4 linked regions of the Macaca fascicularis genome follow. The protein of the gene in region 1 interacts with the protein of each later gene in a pairwise test. Links are inferred from orthologs where the notes say so. Each region holds a gene or a part of one and is shown on either strand. Other genes may lie near its edges. The genes, in order: PNMA1, TNNI1, FBXL18 and ARID5A.

Region 1 (5,908 bases):
TAGGAAGGTCCATGCTCCAGGATGCATTCATGTCTTGGATACAGTGTGAAAATTAAAAAGTTTAGAGGGTAGATGTAATTGTGGCAAGTGACTTGCCAATAAAGTAGGTGCAGCTATAGAAGCTGGCATAGGTATATCCTTAATGGTGCTTTCTCCCTGGGCTTGTCTCTTGTTGTTTTTTTCCCTATATTCAGAGCTCTGAGAAGTGATAAACACCTCCAGCTTTCTTAACATCCTCCCCACACCATCTCACCATATCCATCTCCCAGCATCCATCTGCATTCAGCTAAGGGCGGGAAACTGACCTAGTGCCTGTGCTGCAGACCATTTCTGAGGTCTCCACCCATCCAAGGAGGCAGAGCCATCATTACTGTCCTCCATGCCTTCAGCAGCCCCCCTCACAGCTAAGGTACATACCACCCCTTCTGCCGCGCCCCCTTCCACTCCTGGCACCAAGGTCTTTTGCTGCTTATGTCTAAAGGGATCGCCTATATTTAACTGCCTCAGTGACCTAACCTCTTTCTTCTCATGTGCCAGATGTTAAGATGAAGGAGGAATACAACACATGCTCAAGCCTCAGCTGTTTAGTTGTTTTCACTGGGGCTCGCTTTTCTGGGACGGTATTTATTATCAGACTGGCAAGCCTAACTCCATAGGTTTACAGGAAGTAGGGATATTTTTATAAAACAATTGTGTCCTCCCCACATTTTGCTATGTTAATATTTGCCTCTAACAATTTGCAGCTGTTTCACTTTTTCCTCATTTGTCTCTAAGTTGAAGGCCTTGTTGGAGGGGACAGAGCACAGGAACAGCCTTGACAGTCTGTAATTATTGTACAAATATTTTAATAGCATATAAATAAGTATATTCCTTTTATTTTGAAACAAAAATGATCAGACACTGCCTTTTGTGTGTTTGCTGCCTGTGGCACCCTTTTTGAAAAAGACTGTTACATATTAAAATAGTGTACATACATATAAATATTACCTCTTTTGCTGTACAGTTGTGATAGAGACTGAAGATTTTATTTTTTGTGTGCTTTTTATAAGAAAAAATTAATACACTAAAGAATCTTGCTGATGTGATTGTAATGTACCTATGTAACTTATTTACTTTTGAATGTTCTTCTGTATCTTTAAACCTTTTATTAAATAAGGTTTTAAAAATTCAGAGTTGAATGCTATGTTCTCTCGGGATTTTCACCATCTGGGGTTGATGTAAGTGGGCCTTGTCTTGCTTGCAGGGAGATTACTCGACATTTTTGAGCCATAAGGATTCTCTTTTAGCAGCCTATTGTCGATGCCAGCCAGGAAAAGGAAAATAACACTAATGTTTGCCTGGCTAAAAGATGACTCAGTAGACACAGACAAACAGATGTTTACAAAAGTTTAGACAAGAAAAAGTCTAAACTCAGTATCTCACACAAAAAATGGCGCACTCCGGCTTCATTGGGATAAAATATGCAGGGTGCACAGTGTGGTCAGGGGTAACGGGAAGCCAGGGTTCTGAGGAGAGTATTTTCACGTGCAGGGTGGACTGGCTGGGCAACCCGAGTAGACAAGTCCACCATGAGGGATGCCATGACTTCCAATAGTATCATCTTAAATGCACTCCAGGATTGGGTTATTATTTTTAAAACACGGTGCTTAGCAGTATTTGTTTGCTGTTAAAATGGAAAATTATGAAAAAGGAAATGCGCCATCAGAGAAACAAATGCCCAAGCCCCTCGCTGGCACCATGGCAACCGCTCGACCCCCGCGGGCCGCCGGAGCAGGCGTGATTCGCGCCAGCTGGGGCGCCGTTGCCATGGCGACGCCCGAGCGGCTCCGCCGCGGGGGCGGGACGGGGCGGGGCTGACGCCGCTCGCGGGCTGGCCCCATCCTCCACTGCAGCAGTAACGTCGCAGCGGGTTGCGGGTAGGACTCGACGCTGGGGCAGCCGCGCAGCGCCTGAGCCGCTGCAGGCCGCCGCGGCCGCCGCTGCCCACCCTTGCCTGTGCTGTTTCCAGCCTCGCTTCTCCGGCTTTCCTGCTCCTCTGCTGCCTTCGTTTCTGGTCCTCGGCCGTCCTCGCCGCCCGCCCAGAGGAGTCCCCGCGCCCGCCAAGAGGAGTCCCCACGCCCTCCAAGAAGCCGCTCTCCGCTGGCCCGCAGCCGCCGCGACTTCGGCACAGTCTCTCCCTCTGGCTAGTCTCCCAAACGGCCGCTCCTCGCCCGCGGGAAGACCGGGCTGCGACCGCGAACGCCCGATCCTCTCCAGGAGCCGCAGCGAGCGCCCGGCGGGCACGCCCCGCGACCACACCCCGGCTGCTTTCGACCCAGCGCGCCTGCCTTCGCCGCCCGCCCTCGCTCCTTGCCCGCTGCACGACGACGCGACAGCCCGGCTGCAAGCGGCAGACCCGACCGGACCCGGACCCAGACGCAAGATGGCGACGGCCGCGTGACTTCCTCAGCGTCCCCGAGCTCAGCTCCAAGTGTACCTACGGACTGACTGGGGGGGCAGAGAAGGGCGAGATCAGGACTCTGTGTCTTTGTTAGTCGTGAATGCATGAAGCCTACCTCCCTTGGGCCTATTTGGTGGGAGTGTCTGGTATTGTTCTAAGGCCAGGAGTACGGTGAGCCACAGTCTGTTGGTAGAATTGGCGTCTTGATAGTTGAGAAAATGGCGATGACACTGTTGGAAGACTGGTGCCGGGGGATGGATGTGAACTCCCAGAGAGCTCTGTTGGTCTGGGGCATCCCAGTGAACTGTGATGAGGCTGAAATCGAAGAGACCCTCCAGGCAGCGATGCCCCAGGTCCCCTACCGAATGCTTGGGAGAATGTTCTGGAGGGAAGAAAATGCGAAAGCAGCCTTATTAGAGCTCACTGGCGCTGTCGATTACGCCGCGATCCCCAGGGAGATGCCGGGCAAAGGAGGGGTCTGGAAAGTGTTGTTTAAGCCCCCAACTTCTGATGCTGAATTTTTAGAAAGATTGCACCTCTTCCTAGCTAGAGAGGGGTGGACCGTGCAAGATGTTGCGCGTGTCCTTGGGTTTCAGAACCCTACTCCGACCCCGGGCCCAGAGATGCCAGCAGAGATGCTAAACTATATTTTGGATAATGTTATTCAGCCTCTTGTTGAGTCCATATGGTACAAGAGGCTGACACTTTTCTCGGGGAGGGACATCCCAGGGCCTGGAGAGGAAACCTTTGATCCCTGGCTGGAGCACACTAATGAGGTCCTAGAGGAGTGGCAGGTGTCCGATGTAGAAAAGAGGCGGCGGTTGATGGAGAGCCTTAGAGGCCCTGCCGCTGATGTCATTCGCATCCTCAAGTCCAACAACCCCGCGATAACCACTGCCGAATGCCTGAAGGCGCTTGAGCAGGTGTTTGGGAGCGTTGAGAGCTCTAGGGATGCCCAGATCAAATTTCTGAACACTTATCAGAACCCGGGAGAAAAATTGTCTGCTTATGTCATTCGTCTGGAGCCTCTGCTACAGAAGGTGGTAGAGAAGGGGGCCATTGATAAAGATAACGTGAACCAGGCCCGCCTAGAGCAGGTCATTGCTGGGGCCAACCACAGCGGGGCCATCCGAAGGCAGCTGTGGCTTACCGGGGCTGGGGAAGGGCCGGCCCCAAACCTCTTTCAGTTGCTGGTGCAGATCCGTGAGGAGGAAGCCAAGGAGGAGGAGGAGGAGGCTGAGGCCACCCTTCTGCAGTTAGGCCTGGAAGGGCACTTCTGAGTGCCAGAAAAGACAGCTTTAGTGCAGACCTAGATCACAGCTAGTTTTCTTGTCCCTGTGGGGGTCTTACAGATGTGTCTCTGAGTAGTAAAGGCTTAGCCCTGTTCCGTTTTGTTGTTTTTTTGGAGGGGAAGGTTAGTCAGGCCTGAGTATTCATGTAACATTCTAAAATTGTGCAAGCGAGCACCGTGAGCTGCTACAATGCAAGTGGGTCTTGCTGGCTAAAGTGCCAGGTAAAGGGTTGGTTGGACACAGCGCTTAGTGCACGCTGTCATCATGGACATCATAATCAGTTGTGAAAAACACACGAACCTCTGACACTTCCTATTCCACACTGAATGTGAAATTGCATGTGCAGATGTTTACTACGGGGCCTGGCTCACAGGAAGTGTTCAGTAAAAGTATGAACTATTAGATTACTGATAGCGCAGATAGATTTTTCTTTACCATAAATAGTTCCAGATTTATATTGATGGAAGGAAATGTGCATTTATTAGCTATTACTCAACTTTACAATGCAAACATCATATTTCTCATCTTTAAACATGTCGATCAGTTTAATTGAAAAGTATTCTGAGACTGCAAAATGGGGTGTTAAAAAAATACTGCAATTACGGAGCTGTGTAAACCAGTTTCTCATTGCATAAGATACAGATGTAAATTGCATGGAGAGGTTGATATGCACCTGTACAGTAATTCACTTCCCCATTTCAGATCTTTGTCAGAGAATAGTTCTTGTTCATACTGAGTGTTCTAAATTTGAAGTTATATATACAAATTAAAATATTTTAAAAATTCTGTTGTCTTCTCATTTTTCTGGCATGTATAAACATTTTTAGCCTAAGTAAACTCTGTCCTTTTTTCTTATGAAGACTTTGTCATTAAACCATTTATTTTACTCTTAAGCTTTGTATGATACTATGTGAATTTAAATGGCAAGTCCTTTTTTTTCCTTCCCCTCTTGCTGTCATCTTAACATTTTTTTGGTTTATTTTTTAATTTTTTAAATTTTTTATTTTTATTAAGGGCAGAGAGGGTCTTGCTCTGTTGCCCAGGCTGGAGTGCAATGGAGCGATCTCAGCTCACTGCAACGTCTGCCTCCCGGATTCAAGTGATTCTCCTGCCTCAGCCTCCTGAGTAGCTGGGATTACAGGCATGTGCCACCACACCTAGCTAATTTTGTATTTTTTTTAGTAGAGATGGGTTTCACCACGTTGGTCAGGTTGGTCTGGAACGCCTGACCTCAAGTGATCCACCTGCCTCGGCTTCCCAAAGTGCTGGGATTACAGGCATGAGCCATCTAGTTTTTTCTACTAAAAATACAAAAATTAGCCGGGTGTGGTGGTGGGTGCCTTTAATTCCGGCTACTTGGGAAGCTGAGGCAGGAGAATCACTCTGGGAGGCAGAGGTTGCAGTGAGCCGAGATTGCGCCACTGCACTGCAGCCTGGGCAACAGAGTGAGACTCTTGTCTCAAAAAAAAAAAAAAAATCTAGGCCGGGCGCGGTGGCTCACGCCTGTAATCCCAGCACTTTGGGAGGCCGAGGCGGGCGGATCACAAGGTCAGGATATCGAGACCACGGTGAAACCCCGTCTCTACTAAAAATACAAAAAATTAGCCGGGCGCGGTTGTGGGCGCCTGTAGTCCCAGCTACTCGGGAGGCTGAGGCAGGAGAATGGCGTGAACCCGGGAGGCGGAGCTTGCAGTGAGCCGAGATCGCGCCACTGCACTCCAGCCTGGGCGACAGAGCGAGACTCCGTCTCAAAAAAAAAAAAAAAAAAATTTAGAGACCAGATATGGTGGCTCACACTTGTAATCCCAGCACTTAGGGAGGATTGCCTGAAGCCAAGATTTTGAGACCAGCCTGGGCAACACAGACCCAATCTCCACATACATTTTTAAAAATTAGCCAGGCATGGTGGCACAGGCCTGTGGTCCCAGCAGCTCAGGCAGCTGAGGTGGGAGATTGCTTGAGCTCAGGAGGTTGAGGCTGCAGTGCGCCATGATCGCCCCACCGCACTCCAACCTGGTGATAAAGTGAGACCCTGTTTCTCAAAAAATTTTTTTTAGAAAATCTTGAAATGGGGTTCAGGAGGTTATCTGGCAATGTTTTTCTCTTAAGATCACTTTTCAGCTAAACATTTTATTTCACTGAAGAAATAACTATAATTCATCACACCTGTGTAAAA
Region 2 (5,693 bases), on another chromosome or scaffold:
GTTGGTGGTGGTGGTGTTGGGGTTTTTTTTTTTTTTTTGAGATGGAGTCTCACTCTGTCGCCAGGCTGGAGTGCAGTGGTGTGATCTTAGCTCATTGCAACCTCTGCCTCCTGGGTTCAAGCAAAGGAATACTGTTTTTAAGAAAGCACGACATATAGACAGGAGAACAGAGGGCATACCCTTTGAGCTATTGCCTGTCATGAGCCTCAGAGTGGAGGAAACTGTCAGCTCCTCTCTGGATCCCAGGTCTTGCAAAGGGGCTGGGGAGAGGGTCAAGGGCTGGAAACTGATGGCTCTGTTCCGCTCTTCTTCACGCCTGCCTGATCCATCTGCCACCCCCAGGACCTGTGCCGGGAGCTGCATGCCAAGGTAGAGGTGGTGGATGAGGAGCGATACGACATTGAGGCCAAATGTCTCCACAACACCAGGGAGGTGAGTCTAAGGAAGGGAAGGGGCATGGCCAGGGTGGGCTAGGCAGGGGCATGGGCACGGATACAGCAGCCATGGGAGGTCCCCTCCTTCCACAGGGCCTGGAAGGGGCCACTTAAGCAGGAACCTTTGGTTTCTCCGCCCTAGCCCCATAGGGCTGGAGATCTGGAGATGGGCAGAGTGGATAATCACACATGAAAAGTACAAACTTCCTCCCTACCTGCCATGTGGGCTCATCAGCCTAACAGAAGCCACTCTCTTTATCCACCCACACAAATAATCATATGCCTGTTAATAACGTCTTACCTTTGTGAAGTGCTTTCATGTGTGTTGTAGCCTTTGATCCTCCCTATAGGCCTGTGGATGAAGTAGGGGCTATTTGCACCTTGCAGAGGAGAACACTCAGGATCAGAGAGGCCAAGGACTTGTCCTAGGTTGCACAGTGGTGGTCCTGGGACCAGTGCTGGTCTCTGGCTCCCACTTCGGTACTCTGTGCTCCCTTAGCATGGAGTGTGGGAGGATTAACTCCATCCAGACCCTGCTCCAGTGGGGTGGGGCAGAACAGGGAAGGACAGGGCTCCTTTGGGTCATTTGTCCAAGCAGTGAGGAGGGGGCAGGGAGGTAGCACAAGTCACTTCCCTCCTTCCCACTTCTGCCCACCGGGAATGATATGTGGGGTCACCAAGCTCCTAAGAATTCCCTCTAGAGATCACACCCTGGAAATTCCTCCAGGGGTCTAGGACCTGGAAGTTTATCACCCTGCTGGACCAAGGCTGTGAGCTGCTTTGAAGGCTCACTGGGGAGGAATAAGTTAGAAGCAGGGATGAGGCTACAGGAACAAAAGGAAGCAACCCTGCACTCCAAATAGGGCTTCCAAACCAGACAAGTCTCAGTCTGGTGGAGCTACCCCTTTTATTCAAGGTTACAGTATTAGCAATGGCCAATAGGCTTTATCTATCTGATTAACTATCCATTTATCAGCAAATGTACAGTGGCTATTTGCAAAGGGGTGGGTGGGTCTGACTGTCCTAGAGCAGGGTCTCCAACTCTTGGGCTGTGGACCAGTACTAATCCGTGGCCTGTTAGGAACTGGGCTGCACAGCAGGAGGTGAGCAGTGGGTGAGTGAGCATTCCCACCCGAGCTCTGCCTCCTGTCAGATCAGCAGTGGCATTAGATTCTCACAGGAGTGTGAACCCTATTGTGAACTGTGCACGCGAGGAATCTAGGTTGCACACTCCTTATGAGAATCAAACTCATGCCTGATGGTCTGAGGTGGAACAGTTTCATCCTGAAACCACCCCACCACCTCTCCGTGGAAAAAGCGTCTTCCACAAAACCAGTCCCTGGTGACGAAAAGGCTGGTGACTGCTGATAGGTCTGGCTTCAAGGGTGGACAAATTAAGGTGTATCTCTGGCTGGAACCCTAGCAATCTGAGGTCCTTAGGAAGGGTGCCCTGTGGCTAGCTCCCTCTCCAGTGAGCCCCGGGCGCTTCTCACCTGCAGATTAAGGACCTGAAGCTGAAGGTGATGGACCTCCGTGGGAAGTTCAAGCGCCCGCCCCTGCGTCGGGTCCGTGTCTCGGCTGACGCCATGCTCCGGGCCCTGCTGGGTTCCAAGCACAAGGTGTCCATGGATCTGCGGGCCAACCTCAAGTCTGTGAAGAAGGAAGACACAGAGAAGGTGAGGTCCCTTTCCTCAGAACCTTCCACCCTCTTCCCTACCAGCTTTCCCCTTGTCAACCCCTCACATGGCCTCAGGCAGGCCCAGGAGCTCCTGTTGGAGGCCAGTCAGCTTGACAGAGAGAATGTTCTAGAATGTTTTGGAAGACCAGTGTGGGAAGAAAGAAAGAAGACTTGCTCCCTTTCTTCAGGCTGTTCCCAGTCTGATGAAGAAACTAGGACATAAAGAAAGCTAGACCCCAGACTGAGACATGAAGCAAAAATCTTGTTCCCAGTGTGAAGAGAACATGGAGATATAGGGTAATGTTGGAGGTGACTGCCTGGTCACCACAGGGAAAGGAGACAGCAGCTCATCTTGGTGATAGCCACACATGAGCACAGACGTTAGAGAACTGAGTTCAACCACCCAGCAACAAATTATTCAAAGTTGGTTGAACTCACAGTATATGTGCCCCAAATTGATAGGCTCTGTAAGGAACAGGGATGACAGGAACATAGTCTCTGGCCCAAGAAGCTTCAGAGGACAAGAGATAAGCCAGGCAGTATACTGAGGAAATGGAAAAGCAGTCACATTCGCAGGGGAAGGCTTCTTGGAAGAGGTGGCCTTGAGCCTGCAGAGTGCCAGACCAGGAGGGTGGCATGGGGCCTGGGAGGAGGTTTTGCTCAGGTGCATTGAGGTGGGAACTAGCCCCGTAGCTGCCACTATCACCCAGTGCTCCCAAGCCACACAGCTTCCTGTGGGGCCTCGGCTTGGCCCGTGTCCACCTGCCTGGCTGAGTCCTAGGACTTAAACAGCTGGGGAGGGGCATTGGGATTTCTTATCATCTGAGGAGACTGGTTTTCTATCACCCAACTTCTCTTGAGCTGGGGGGGGCATCCAGCCTGGTAAGTCCCTGATGTGTGTGCCACTTGTCCACAGGAGCGGCCTGTGGAGGTGGGTGACTGGAGGAAGAATGTGGAGGCCATGTCTGGCATGGAAGGCCGGAAGAAGATGTTTGATGCTGCCAAGTCTCCGACCTCACAATAGAGGTACCTAGAGATCAGCTCCCTTCTCTGGGGTCCATCAGAGTCTAGAGGATAATGAGGGAGTCCACGATGGGCAGGCAGGTTGTACTCAGTGTGGTGCAGGGACAAAGGCACTGATGAGACTGATTTGAGTCGGCTCTCCTGGGCTCAGTCCTGGCTCCAGCACCGTGATACCTTGGGCATGTCATTTCTGTTTGGGGGCCCTTTTTGTTCCCCTCCTCTATGAAATTGGGGGCTGTGTTAAATCAGTGGTTCTCCAGGTGTGGTCCCGGGACCAGCAGCATCTACATCACCTGGGATGCAAATGATCACCCCCCACCCCAGGTCCACTAAATTGGAAACTCTGGGGTGAGACCAGCCTTCCAGGTGATTCTGATGCACATGGAGAGTTTCAGAACCACTAGGTTAGAGGATCCCTGGGGTCCCTTCATCTCTGACTTTCTGAGAATCTATGCTCTTTTAAATACCTCCTGGTGATGTCCTTTATTTGTGCTCCCTGCGAAGTACCCAGCACTCACAGTACCTGTTCCCAAGGAGCTACCACTCAGAGAAGCTAACACTTCCCACTCTCTGAGGAAAAAGCTGGAGAAACTGGGCCAAGCAAGGAAATCAGGCCACATAAAACCGTCTGTGGAAGTGCTGAGAGAATGTGCAATAGGGCAGGCATCCACCAGATAGCACTGGTCGGAGCAGGCTTTCTGGAGAGGAGGAGTTCTCTGAGGACGTGATGGGCAAGTGTTAGCTGATAACGGGAAGGGCACGTTAAAGGGCTGATGGTGCAACAGAAGCATGGAGGTGGGAATTAACCACCCACAGAGTAGCATGGCAAGGCCAGGTAAGAGCTGAGGGCCGCAGTGCGGAGGAGCAGTGTGAGGGGTCCCAAAAGGGGAGAAACTGTGCCTGTGGGCTGAGAAGCTGAGGTCTTGTAGGAGCCCCTATGAATGAAGATCCAGCCAGGGGTGCGCTAGGGGTGAGAAGCCCTGGAGACTGCATGTGCTGTAGGTAAGTCAGGGATTCATGCACTGCACACAGGTCCCCGGGAACTGATGGCTTCGCCTCTTTGTCCCTACAGGCCAGCTTGCTGTGCTGCGCTCTGAGCTCCTGCTTCATGCTTCTTCTCCAACCCAGCTCACTCACTTCTCTGCCCGTGTCTGGAGCATCCCTTCCCACCTCCCCCCTCACTTCTTCCCTCCAGCCTGCATGCCCTCCTCTGGAACTGGGATTAAAGAGATATCCAAGAGGCAGGACAAACGAGAGTGTCTGAAGACCTCACCCCAGCAGGGTGGGCTCCCACCCATCCATGAGGCACTTGGGGCTTCCCAGCTACCCTGTGGTGTAACAGGTGAAGGACGAGGAGGGAGTGAGAGCACCTTTCCTCTAGCCCTGTGCCACACCCCTTCTATGTGTGTACAGTGTCCACAGCCATCTTCATTAAAAACCCAGTTTCCTGGTCATTTCTGCAGCTCTGACTGTGAGCACGGAGAAGAAAGGGAAGACTTGGGGCTTGTGAAGAGAGGGCTGTGCTGGGCTCCAGTCAGCCTGTCTGCAGTCCACAGTCCAGGATCTGAAGGGAGGGCTAAGGAATTGGTGGCTGCTTGCCAGGGTCCCCTGGGGCCCCTTCTGCCGAGTCCCTGTGATGTCACACAGCACACACTCACCACCCAGGATGCTCAGCTCACCAGAGCCCTGATCTCCGAGAACTGACCCCGTCCTGCCCCTGACTCTGGCCATCAGAAGAGGCTTCTCCATTCAGAGCCGCTTCTCCTGCCGGATTTCATACTCTCCTTCCTCTGCAAAGCTAGATTAACTCTCCCTGATGTCTGCTGGGTGTACCTGACTGCTCCGGGCTGAGAGGTCAGGGCACTTTCAATCCCTCACCTAGTCCAGCTGCACAGGGCAGGAGGCCTCACAGAAGAGATACTTGCAGTTCCAGGCCTGGCCACCAGGTGACTCCTTCCTTCTGTCCTGGGCACTCCTGTCCCTCCCGCCTCTGCTCTCCCCACTTTCACTCACCCTCCTCCCAATTGTTTCCCCTTCACACTCCTGTACTGGTCCTATCCCCCAGGACTGATTCTTTCCCGGAGGGGGGGGCGGCCACTTATCTGTCCTCTGGCTCAGGTCCTTTCTCCATCCCACTCACTTCTGGGTCCAAACCCTGGTGAGGGCATAGGGCATGCTGGGGTGGAGTGGGGGTCTGGGGCAGCCCCTCTTCCCCCATCATACTTGTGAGAGAGGCTCCTGTGAAGCAGAGAGCAAAGTTCTGATTTTCCTTTTTTTCTTTTTTCTTTTTTTGAGATGGAGTCTCGCTCTGTCACCCAGACTGGAGTGCAGTGACATGATCTCGACTCACTGCAACCTCCGCCTCCCAGGTTCAAGCGATTCTCCTGCCTCAACCTCCTGAGTAGCTGGGATTACAGGTGTGTGCCACCACACCCGGCTAATTTTTGTATTTTTAATAGAGACAGGGTTTCACCATGTTGGTCAGGCTGGTCTTGAACTCCTGAACTCGTGATCCGCCCACCTTGGCCTCCCAAAGTACTGGGATTACAGGCGTGAGC
Region 3 (4,309 bases), on another chromosome or scaffold:
TAAGCACGTTATTAACATCTGGTGAAGCCCATCTCGGGGGTAGCAGCAGCGGAAATTCTTGCTCCAAGTCAAAGGATGGTTGCAGGGGACACTAAAAATACAAGGTCCACTGTTTCGGGGGTGCTTTCCAAGGCACTATACCCCAGCCTCGGGAACGGCCCTTCCCCCAGTCCTGTCTATGAGTATAAATTATGCTGCTGGTTAAAACCGCTTGCTCATGAGAACAGGACACCCAAGCATGATCATACACACGCTAGGATGCATTCCTGGTGCAAACGCAATTCTCTGGCCCCAGTGGGGAATGTTCTGGAAGAAAGGAGAGGGGCGCAGAGCTGCAGCGCCCAGAGACACAGGCTCACTGAGGGTCCGGGAGACTCCCAGGCCACCTGCCTCCCTCCTGGGCCACATCCCCTGCCTGCCACACCTCAGTCTGAGAGCAAGAAGTGGTCAGTACTGGGAGGTACCACACCACCGGATCTGATCACTGCGCCTGGTGGTCTCCAGGTACCATTTTAAAGCTCTAAAGAAACGCCCAGGAAGCGTGTGTGTGGGCCGTGGGCAGCTGGTCCTGCGGCCTGCAGGTCAGGAGACGGGGCCGAGGGGTATGGCTCTCAGAGGCCATGACAGGAGGGCCAGAAGGCCTCTGGGAGGCAAAGGTGTGGTCTGGTGCTGGTCCCACCACCAGGCTCTGCTGAAATCAGCCTGCGGACCGGCCTCTCCAGCCAGGAGGCAAAGGTTCTGCACTGGGTGCAGCCTGGGGCTGGGAGAGGACCCGTGGGCTTCAGAGAGGAGGCGTTGACCCCATACATACAAGAAAGAAAGTCAGGGTGAAGTGGGAGGAGACCTCGAACCCCAGATCCGCCTGTGCCAGTGAGCAGAGGCGCCAGGGCAGTGCCAAGACTGCCATGTGGAGAGCTGGGAGGCAGCCTGCACAGGAGGGCTGTCCCTCCCTACAGCTCTGACCCCAGTTCTCCAAAGGCCTCTGGGACAAGGAGCTGCTGAGAACCATCCCCGCCCAAGGGCAGGGCCGGTGATCAGAGGCCCGGGGACAGTGTCCCCCATTTTTTAACAGCAAGGCAAATGTGAGACACCGCCCCACAGGACGGTGGACCTGTCACATGGAAACCCAGGAGGATGACGGCAGGCTGGGCAAGGGGCCCTTCACCAAGAGCGGCCAAGGTGGCGGTCCAGGCGAGCAGGACCCAACTACAGCCCCCCTCAGAAGCCACCAGCCCAGGGACAGCTCTAGGAGCGCCTGGAGGTGGAAGGCGGCAGAGGTGACCAGCGTGGCACATGGGGTTGGGCCTCGGACGCTGGGAAGGTGTCCTCATTTTTGGAACAGCTTTAATTTTTTTCTCTTTAAGAGATGGGGTATCCCTGTGTTGCCCAGGCTGGTCTCAAACTCCTCGGGTCAAGTGATCCTCCCAAAATGTACTATATATATATATATACACACACACACATATACATATATATATATGTATTTTGAGATGGAGTCTTGCCCTGTCGCCCAGGCTGGAGTGCAGTGGCGTGATCTCAGCTCACCGCAACCTCCGTCTCCCAGGTTCAAATGATTCTCCTGCCTCAGCCTCCCGAGTAGCTGGGATTACAGGCACCCACCACCACGCCCAGCTAATTTGTGTATTTTTAGTAGAGATGGGGTTTCACCATGTTGGCCAGGGTGGTCTTGAACTCCTGACCTTGTGATCCACCCGTCTCGACCTCCCAAAGTGCTGAGATTACAGGCGTGAGCCACCGTGCCCAGCTGAGTATTTTTAAAGTCTTAAATAAAGTCATTCGAAATGGGGTCCTATGATTGCTACTCCAGCCTTATGAATCCTTTCTGGGTTTTAATGTTGCACGTTATTCTAACAAAGCCGAATGTGTATCTATTTCCCCAGGAATGCACATGGACCTTCCCAGGGAAGCTGAAGGCTGTGGGGTGGGTGGGAGCAGGAGGAGACCTCTCTCATGAGAAGCAGGCCCTGCTCATTGGGCTGAAAAGCCATAGGAGAGGCTCCAACCAGCAGTCCCAACCCCAGGGGACCTCTCTGGGGCCACAGGCATCATCGGGCTAGAAAAGTCCCAGAGACATGAGTGGGCTCAAGTGTGTTCTAATGGGACGGAGAGTCCTAAGTCCGCAGCCTAAACCGGCAAGCCCTTCCCCATGTCACACTCGGCCACGCAAGGGGACACTCAGACACACGGTGACCAGCCTGGCCGACTGGACTTCAGGGGGACAGCATGTGGCCGCCCATCCGTGGGGCCCTGGTGGCAGGTGACCACAAACACGACAGCCAAGGGACACGCTTCCCAGTCAGAATGGCACGGAGTTCCGGTCCTCCAGGCCCATCGACAGGGCCCCCAGGTATTGAGGCTCAGTGTACAAACCCCCAAGCCAGGCCCCAAGGGTCAGCCTGTTTCAGCCAGCCTCCACATCGACGGTCCCCTGACCCCCCTCATGTCAACCAGAGCACATCCCCTCAACCCAAACTTCACAGAGCAACAGTTCCCATGAGAGAGCCGCAGAGATGCCAAGAGCCCCAGGAGCCAGGTGGGGCGTGGCCGGCCGGGAGAGAGGCCCTCTTCCTCTTGTAACAAACCAAGGGTCCCTGGTGTCCCAGGCTCCTACAGCGTCTTGAGGTGACTCAGACCGATGGGCGGCGGCTTGGCCTCTCACCACCACAGGTTCGGCGGTTCCTCGGCCACTCTGCTCTTAAATAAGGTGATCTCATCCAGGTGCACCAGAGGGACGTCCCGGATGACGTCGGTCAGGCCCTCGTGGAGCAGAGGGAAGATGACGACGTTCAATGCGGGCCGCTCGGCCTGGAAGCTGAACCAGAGACAGGTGGTCAGCGGATTACGTGGGTGGCCACGGAGGGGACAGAGCCTGCCGGGGGAGCCCAGGAGGCACTCACAGCTGCCCCCGCCACCCGGGCTCACCTGGGGCTCCCGGAGAGACCAGGCCTGCTGCGAGAGTCACCCTCTATGCGCCTTGAGGGCCCCGTACGTGGCAGCCAGAGCTGAGGAGGAGCAGGGCAGCCGGGAACAGGCAACACGCTTCTCTCCAGGTTCAGGGGGCACCTGCTCCATGCCAGCCACGAGTATCAGAGGCCCCAGAGGCCAACCCTGCTCTGCAGATGCGGGAGAGCTGCCAGGACAGGCTGCCGTGCTCCAAGGCAGCAGAGGGACCCCACTGCAAGAGTGGCAAATTCAAGGCACCTGGCCCATGGACGTCCCACGGCCAGGACAGAGAGAAGGGACAGGTGTCCACACCCCACAGCCACACGTGGGCCACCTCAAGGGGGTGCGACTCCCAAGTCAGTGAGGCAGCAGCAGTCACTAGGAGGAGCAGATACCAAAGCGGCTACTCGGGAAAAGCACACGTTTGACTGCATGACAAATGGCAGGTGGGCGACGCTCCCAAAGCCCCCGCCCCCAGGCGACCAGCCTGCATGCATGAAAACTCATGCACAATTGCCACGGGGTGCCCACCGAGTGCCAGGCACGGCTCTGAGCTCGACAGACATGACCTCATTTTGCCTTCCCCACAACCCTACAACGAGCCACGGTCCCCCAGCGGGCCATGAAGCAGAGCAAGGATTCCCCACCCAGTCAGAGCAGGTCACCAGCACAGTCCTACTGGCCCTATTTGGCCAAAATGCAATGCAAGCCGGGCACTGTGGCTTGCTCCTGTAATCCCAACACCTGGGAGGCTGAGGTGGGAGACTCGTTTGAGGACAGGAGTTCCAGAACAGCCTGGGCAACATAGGGAGACTCTGTCTCTATAAAAAATATTAAAGGCCGGGCGCGGTGGCTCAAGCCTGTAATCCCAGCACTTTGGGAGGCCGAGACGGGAGGATCACGAGGTCAGGAGATCGAGACCATCCTGGCTAACACAGTGAAACCCCGTCTCTACTAAAAATACAAAAACTAGCCGGGCGAGGTGGCAGGCGCCTGTAGTCCCAGCTACTCAGGAGGCTGAGGCAGGAGAATGGCGTGAACCCGGGAGGCAGAGCTTGCAGTGAGCTGAGATCCGGCCACTGCACTCCAGCCTGGGTGACAGAGCGAGACTCCGTCTCAAAAAAAAAAAAAAAAAATTAAAAAATTAGTAAGGCATGGTGGCGCATGCCTGTCACCTCAGCTACTCAGGAGGCTGAGGCAGGAGGATCACTTGAGCCCCGGAGGTAGAGGCGGCAGTGAGCTATGATCACACCACTGTACTCCAGCCTGGGCAACACAGTAAGACCCTGTCTCTAAAAAAAAAAAAAAAGAAAGAAAGAAAAGAAAATGCAAAGACCCAAGTGTC
Region 4 (5,222 bases), on another chromosome or scaffold:
GGGTACTAACAAGTGACCCACCGGCCTGATGCCTTTCCAGCGCTTCTGACACACCCGTGTCCAGAAATCCTGGGTACTAACACGTGACCCACCAGCCTGATGCCTTTCCAGCCAAGTCCGCTGTGACTTTGTGCCTCAGTCTTCCCTGCTGTGAAATGGGAGAGGAAGATCCTAGCGTTCTTTGCTAGCCAAGGATTCTACCCCATGCCTCTGAGTACCACTGGCCCCTGGCTTATGCTGCTTTGGGTTTCTTGTTCCCGAGGAGATTCTTTTTCTGTCTGGGATGGAAGGGAAATCTCATAGGTTCCTAACAAAAAGGATGTCCTGGGAGGGAGTGAACCAATTCATACTTGATTAACAAAAGGACAAAGGACAGAAAGAAAAGGTTGTCAGAAGCCGTGGGTTCCTGGTCTGGTGTCTGCTGCCAGCCTGCGGTGTGGCCCGAGGCAGTTTCCAATGGTTGTGGTTTTTGCAGTGGCAGAGGTGTTGCGTTTTTGCAGCCATCGGCACATGGTGGTTCTTAGTAAAATACAGCCCACAGCTTCTCCGGCCCACGACGCAGGGTTGTCGTGAGCCTTGCTCATTCCAGCTTGGCACCTGCTGTGTGGGGTACAGGCAGCCTCACCGAGCTACCAGGGAGCCCCAGGAGCCACCGGCAGTTCAGCCAGGATGGCTGTGAGTAGCCAAGGGCGACGGAGGAGCTGCCCATGGCCAGGGGCCGGAGGAGGCCACCCAGAGGAAGGCACTTGTCACAGAGACCTGAGGGGTCACCAGGACCCTTGCAGGTGAGGGGAGCATGTGGCCTAATTAGGGCAGTTAGAACTCTGCAGATGCTCGGGAAGGTCAGATGTTCCCGAATATTCTCAGGGGAACTACTACCAAAGGACCCCATGTGTTGCTTTGGGACCACAGCCATGGGATCCTTTAGCTCTCTAGTGAGACTGAGCTGCTTCTCAATTGTGTCTCAGCATGGGGCAGATTTTGGAGACAGGATTTCCCCAAGCGCCATAGCCCAACCCCGGCCTCCTGTGACTTGACCTCAAGGTGGTTTTGCGTTTCCTTCAAAGATGTGGGGAGATAGCTGGAGCAGAGGAAAGAAAAGGGGCAGGTGTGGAACAGATGCAGTGGGTTGTGGGGGAGTGGGGAGGAGGGTCTCTGTGTGTGTGTGTGTGTGTGTGTGTAGCCTGTGTGCAGCCAGGGACACACCCCTTCCCCCTGGCCAATTCTTTTTTTTTTTTTTTAATGATAGAGACGGGATCTCACTATGTTGGCCAGACAGGTCTCGAACTCCTGATATCAGGTGATCGCCTGCCTGGGCCTCCCAAAGTGCTGGGATCACAGGAGTGAGATCACAGTCACCGGCGCCCTGTGACGACTCTCACTGGGGATGGGGAGACTGCTCCTGTTCCTCCTGCTTGCATCTGAGGTGTTCTCTCCCCACCCCTTCTTCCTTCCCTCTCTCCTTGCAGCAGCTCCTGTCAAAGGGAACAGGAAGCAGTCCGCAGAGGGTGACATCCTAGATCCACCTGCATCCCCCAAACCTGTTGGCGAGCAGAACGGGAGCCAGAACCCCATCCCACTGGAGGTGAGTCGAGTCCCTCTGCTGACTCCCTGGGCGTTCTTCCCTGCCACCCTCACCCGTGTTCAGCCTCCAGGTGAACCTGGACACTCCCCAAGCTCTCAGGAGGCAGATATGTTCCTACCCTGGCCCTGTCCAGCAGCCAGGGGACTGACTTGTCTTCTGTGCCAGAGAGTTATTGAAACCAAGATTGACTTGGTTTTTGTAGCAGACCCCTTTTTTCAAGTGAAGATGACCCACCACCCTGATCCATAAAACAGACAAAAGCTCCAGCCCGTGATGCAAAACCACATTCACATCCATTCATCCAGGTGCATAACATGGGCATATAAAGTCACTCGGTGAGACCAACAGGGCTGTTGCGATAAGCAGAGTCTGAAGGGGGCGCTGCAGGCAGCTTTTTCGGAGCACAGTTGGCCCCGGCTTTCATTCATTTTGGCCATTTGCTTTGGTGGCACAGTCTGGAAAAGTATCCAGATTCATGCAGAAAAGTGTTTGCAAATGGTAGTTGTCTTTAGCAGCTTGCTGGAAATTCAGAGTAGAGGCCTGGAGGAGCAGATTGACTTGAGCAGCTATGAGAGAGCCTTCCTTCTGAGGTCTGCACAGACCAGCCCCAGGGCCCCGGCATGTTACGATTTCATGGGTGATATATGAGTTCATATGTTGTTTCTTCTCAGAGGTCTTTAATACCTTAAAAACACTGAACTATTACAGAAGCTATTTACAACAAACAAAAAAAGTAACACTGAAATAAACTTGAATCAATTTTTTTTTTTTTTAGGCAGAGTCTCACTGTTACCCAGGCTGGAGGGCAGTAGCACAATCTTGGCTCACTGCAACCTCCACCTCCTGGGTTCAAACGATTCTTCTGCCTCAGCCTCCCGAGTAGCTGTGATTACAGGCATGCACTACCAGGCGTGGCTAATTTTTGTATTTTTAGTAGAGATGGGCTTTCCCCATGTTGGCCAGACTGGTCTCGAACTCCTGACCTCGGGTGATCTGCCCACCTCGGCTTCCCAAAGTGCTAGGATTACCGGCGTGAGCCACCATGCCCAGCTGGATCAAATATTTTGGGAACACATGGCTGTCTGCACTATCCTAGTCTAGATGGTTTATGTCCTGGAAGCTGTCTGTTCTCTGACAGGGTGTAGGCCCTGGGCTCTCTGCCCTGAGCCACTTGCTGGATGAAGGCATCAGCGGAGATTGTCCCTCTGGGACCCGCAACCCAAAGTCCTGTGCCCCTGGCAGCAGTGTGCAGTTGAAGCCAGAGCTTCATCTCCCTGTGCTCAGTACGGCAGGCCGGGGCCACACAGAGGCTCGGGGAACGTGGGCCTGACAGAGCAACCCACGGCACCGGAAAGCACCAGGCACCTTTGTTCCTTCAGCTTTTCCCTCGGCATTGGGGGTAGGGGGGAGGGCGGCGGGGAGTCCCAGGGACACTGAGCCTGCCCTCCAGGAGCTCCTAGTCTGGCAGAGGAGCTGACACAAATATGACAAATCAAGAACAAGACAGAGAAGTGATCCTGGCCTGGAGAAGGCCGGGGACTGCTCTTGTGGCCACCTCTGGAGGCAGCTGCTCTGGGGTGCCCAGCCTCTGGGGGGGGCCCTGAGCTCTAGCCCCTGCCCTAGGGCACTGAGGGCTGATACCTGTGCCAGCCGAACCCATGAACAGTCACTCCCTCCCAGAACAGTGGCCAGGTGCTCTCTGGGAAACTGGGGTTGGGGGCAAGGTACCTTATTCCTCCTGCAGCCAGTGGTTTCTGCACGTCCCCAGCAGCCAGCCACCAACTGGGGCCCATCCCAATGCCTCCTGTTCTCTCCCCAGGACTCCCCCGAGGCAGGCGGGGAGCGGGAGGAGGAGCAGGAGCGGGAGGAGGAGCAGGCCTTCCTGGTCAGCCTCTACAAGTTCATGAAGGAGCGACACACGCCCATCGAGAGGGTGCCCCATCTCGGCTTCAAGCAGAGTGCGTCCCTGGGGTGCAGGCAGGGAGGGGGGCCCAGCAGGGAACCCCACCCAGGCAGGGCATCGGGCAGGCACTCCCACTCTGGGTGACCCAGGTTGCAGATAGAAAGGAGGCCTCCCTCCAGGCTGCCACCGGGCCAGCAGTGCACAGGCCACAGCCTGCCCATCTACTGCAGTGGCCCTGCCTGGGTGTGTGCTGCTCTGTGCCTGCGTGTCAGGGCACTAGGAAGGGGTGGCTGCCCCACCTCCCACGGAGGCTGACGGCCAGCCTGCCCCTCTCTCCCCAGTTAACCTGTGGAAGATCTACAAGGCAGTGGAGAAGCTGGGGGCCTATGAGCTGGTAAGGAAGGCACCCCCAGTCCTTGCCAGACTACATCTCCCTGGGGTGAGCCTGCAACGCTGTCCTTGCCTCTGGACAGGAGAAGAGCCAGGATCCCCAGTCCTGCCTTCCTCCCCGCCTCCCCCGCTGGTTCTCTGCTGCTCAAAGCAGCTTTTCAGCCTTCCCCATCTGTTCTGCCCGCCCCGTGTTGGAAAAACTGCTTGGGCCAGCAGTCCGTGGCCCTGGGAGGGAGAATCAGCCGCTGTCGGAGCCGCAGAGCAGCTGCCAAACCGCAGTGCTTTGGTCCCTGCGAGGGCGGCCAGAGCCGCAAGGACCCCGCCGCCAGGGGGCGCTCGCGGCCGCGCCCTCACCAGGTGCCCTTGCAGGTGACCGGGCGCCGCCTCTGGAAGAACGTGTACGACGAGCTGGGGGGCAGCCCGGGCAGCACCAGCGCGGCCACGTGCACGCGCCGCCACTACGAGAGGTAGGGGGGCGGGCCCGGGTGCTGGACGCCGCCTGCCCTGCGGGGCTCGGTCGACCTTGCTGGGAGGGCTGGGTGGACTCTGTCCGGAGCGGGCGGGGTGGGCGCCGTCCTCAGCGCTGCGGGGGCCCAGGCTGGCTGGGCGCAGACACCGAGGGAGCTGAGCTTTGGGGCGAGGAGGAGAGGGTCTTCTTCGGCGCCGGCGGGAAAGAGGGGCTCAGAGGAGGCCACAGAGGCCGGTGGAGGGGATGGGCGCCGACCTCCTGGGGGACATGCCCGGTTCCTCCCCAGGCTGGTCCTGCCATATGTGCGGCACCTGAAGGGGGAGGATGACAAGCCGCTGCCCACCTCCAAGCCCAGGAAACAGTACAAGATGGCCAAGGAGAACAGGGGGGATGATGGGGCCACCGAGCGGCCGAAGAAGGCCAAGGAGGAGCGGCGCATGGACCAGGTACGCCTGTGGCTGGGTGGGGCCACCCTGTTCCCTGCCTCTTGCAGCCCCCCCACCCCACAACTCCCTGTGGCCACGGAGCTGTCTGCTCAGAACACACCGAACATGCACCCAGGGCGGGACTTGCAAGGTTCCAGGTTCTCCACAGTGCGCAAGTTCTCTACTTGTGCAAGCAGACTGAACTCCAGCCTGCACCCCACCACCAGGCCCTGTGTCCCAACCTGAGGCTGTGTCCGCTCAGAGGACAGGGCTCCTTTGGAAAATTCTGCACAAAGGACTGCAAGAGCTAGCGGGGAACCTGGGCAGGCCTGAAAGTGCCGCCTCCTGCTCCTGAGGTCAGGATGCATGGCTCGGGCAGCCCTGAGGCATGGCTTTCTCTCATTCCAGATGATGCCAGGAAAGACCAAAGCAGATGTTGCTGACCCAGCA

Evidence for each region.
Region 2: the proteins of PNMA1 (region 1) and TNNI1 interact in binary tests that used the Homo sapiens proteins (3 or more experiments, as listed by UniProt). The two-hybrid records come from large-scale screens. The link is inferred for Macaca fascicularis from reciprocal best matches to the Homo sapiens genes PNMA1 and TNNI1.
Region 3: the proteins of PNMA1 (region 1) and FBXL18 interact in a two-hybrid assay, tested with the Homo sapiens proteins (2 studies listed by BioGRID). The two-hybrid records come from large-scale screens. The link is inferred for Macaca fascicularis from reciprocal best matches to the Homo sapiens genes PNMA1 and FBXL18.
Region 4: the proteins of PNMA1 (region 1) and ARID5A interact in binary tests that used the Homo sapiens proteins (3 or more experiments, as listed by UniProt). The two-hybrid records come from large-scale screens. The link is inferred for Macaca fascicularis from reciprocal best matches to the Homo sapiens genes PNMA1 and ARID5A.

Annotation. Positions count from the first base shown.
Region 1 is NC_088381.1:141,638,966-141,644,873, reverse strand, and holds PNMA1 (paraneoplastic antigen Ma1), read left to right. Parts: upstream 1-1,893; 5' UTR 1,894-2,658; coding exon 2,659-3,720; 3' UTR 3,721-4,518; downstream 4,519-5,908.
Region 2 is NC_088375.1:59,139,274-59,144,966, reverse strand, and holds the end of TNNI1 (troponin I, slow skeletal muscle), read left to right. Parts: intron 1-342; coding exon 343-432; intron 433-1,933; coding exon 1,934-2,110; intron 2,111-3,028; coding exon 3,029-3,136; 3' UTR 3,137-3,138; intron 3,139-4,207; 3' UTR 4,208-4,589; downstream 4,590-5,693. UniProt on the Homo sapiens protein: Troponin I is the inhibitory subunit of troponin, the thin filament regulatory complex which confers calcium-sensitivity to striated muscle actomyosin ATPase activity.
Region 3 is NC_088377.1:45,059,365-45,063,673, forward strand, and holds the end of FBXL18 (F-box/LRR-repeat protein 18), read right to left. Parts: intron 2,834-4,309; coding exon 2,677-2,833; 3' UTR 1,484-2,676; downstream 1-1,483. UniProt on the Homo sapiens protein: Substrate-recognition component of the SCF (SKP1-CUL1-F-box protein)-type E3 ubiquitin ligase complex.
Region 4 is NC_088387.1:1,558,429-1,563,650, forward strand, and holds part of ARID5A (AT-rich interactive domain-containing protein 5A), read left to right. Parts: intron 1-1,469; coding exon 1,470-1,585; intron 1,586-3,404; coding exon 3,405-3,543; intron 3,544-3,829; coding exon 3,830-3,882; intron 3,883-4,247; coding exon 4,248-4,345; intron 4,346-4,633; coding exon 4,634-4,793; intron 4,794-5,180; coding exon 5,181-5,222. UniProt on the Homo sapiens protein: DNA-binding protein that may regulate transcription and act as a repressor by binding to AT-rich stretches in the promoter region of target genes.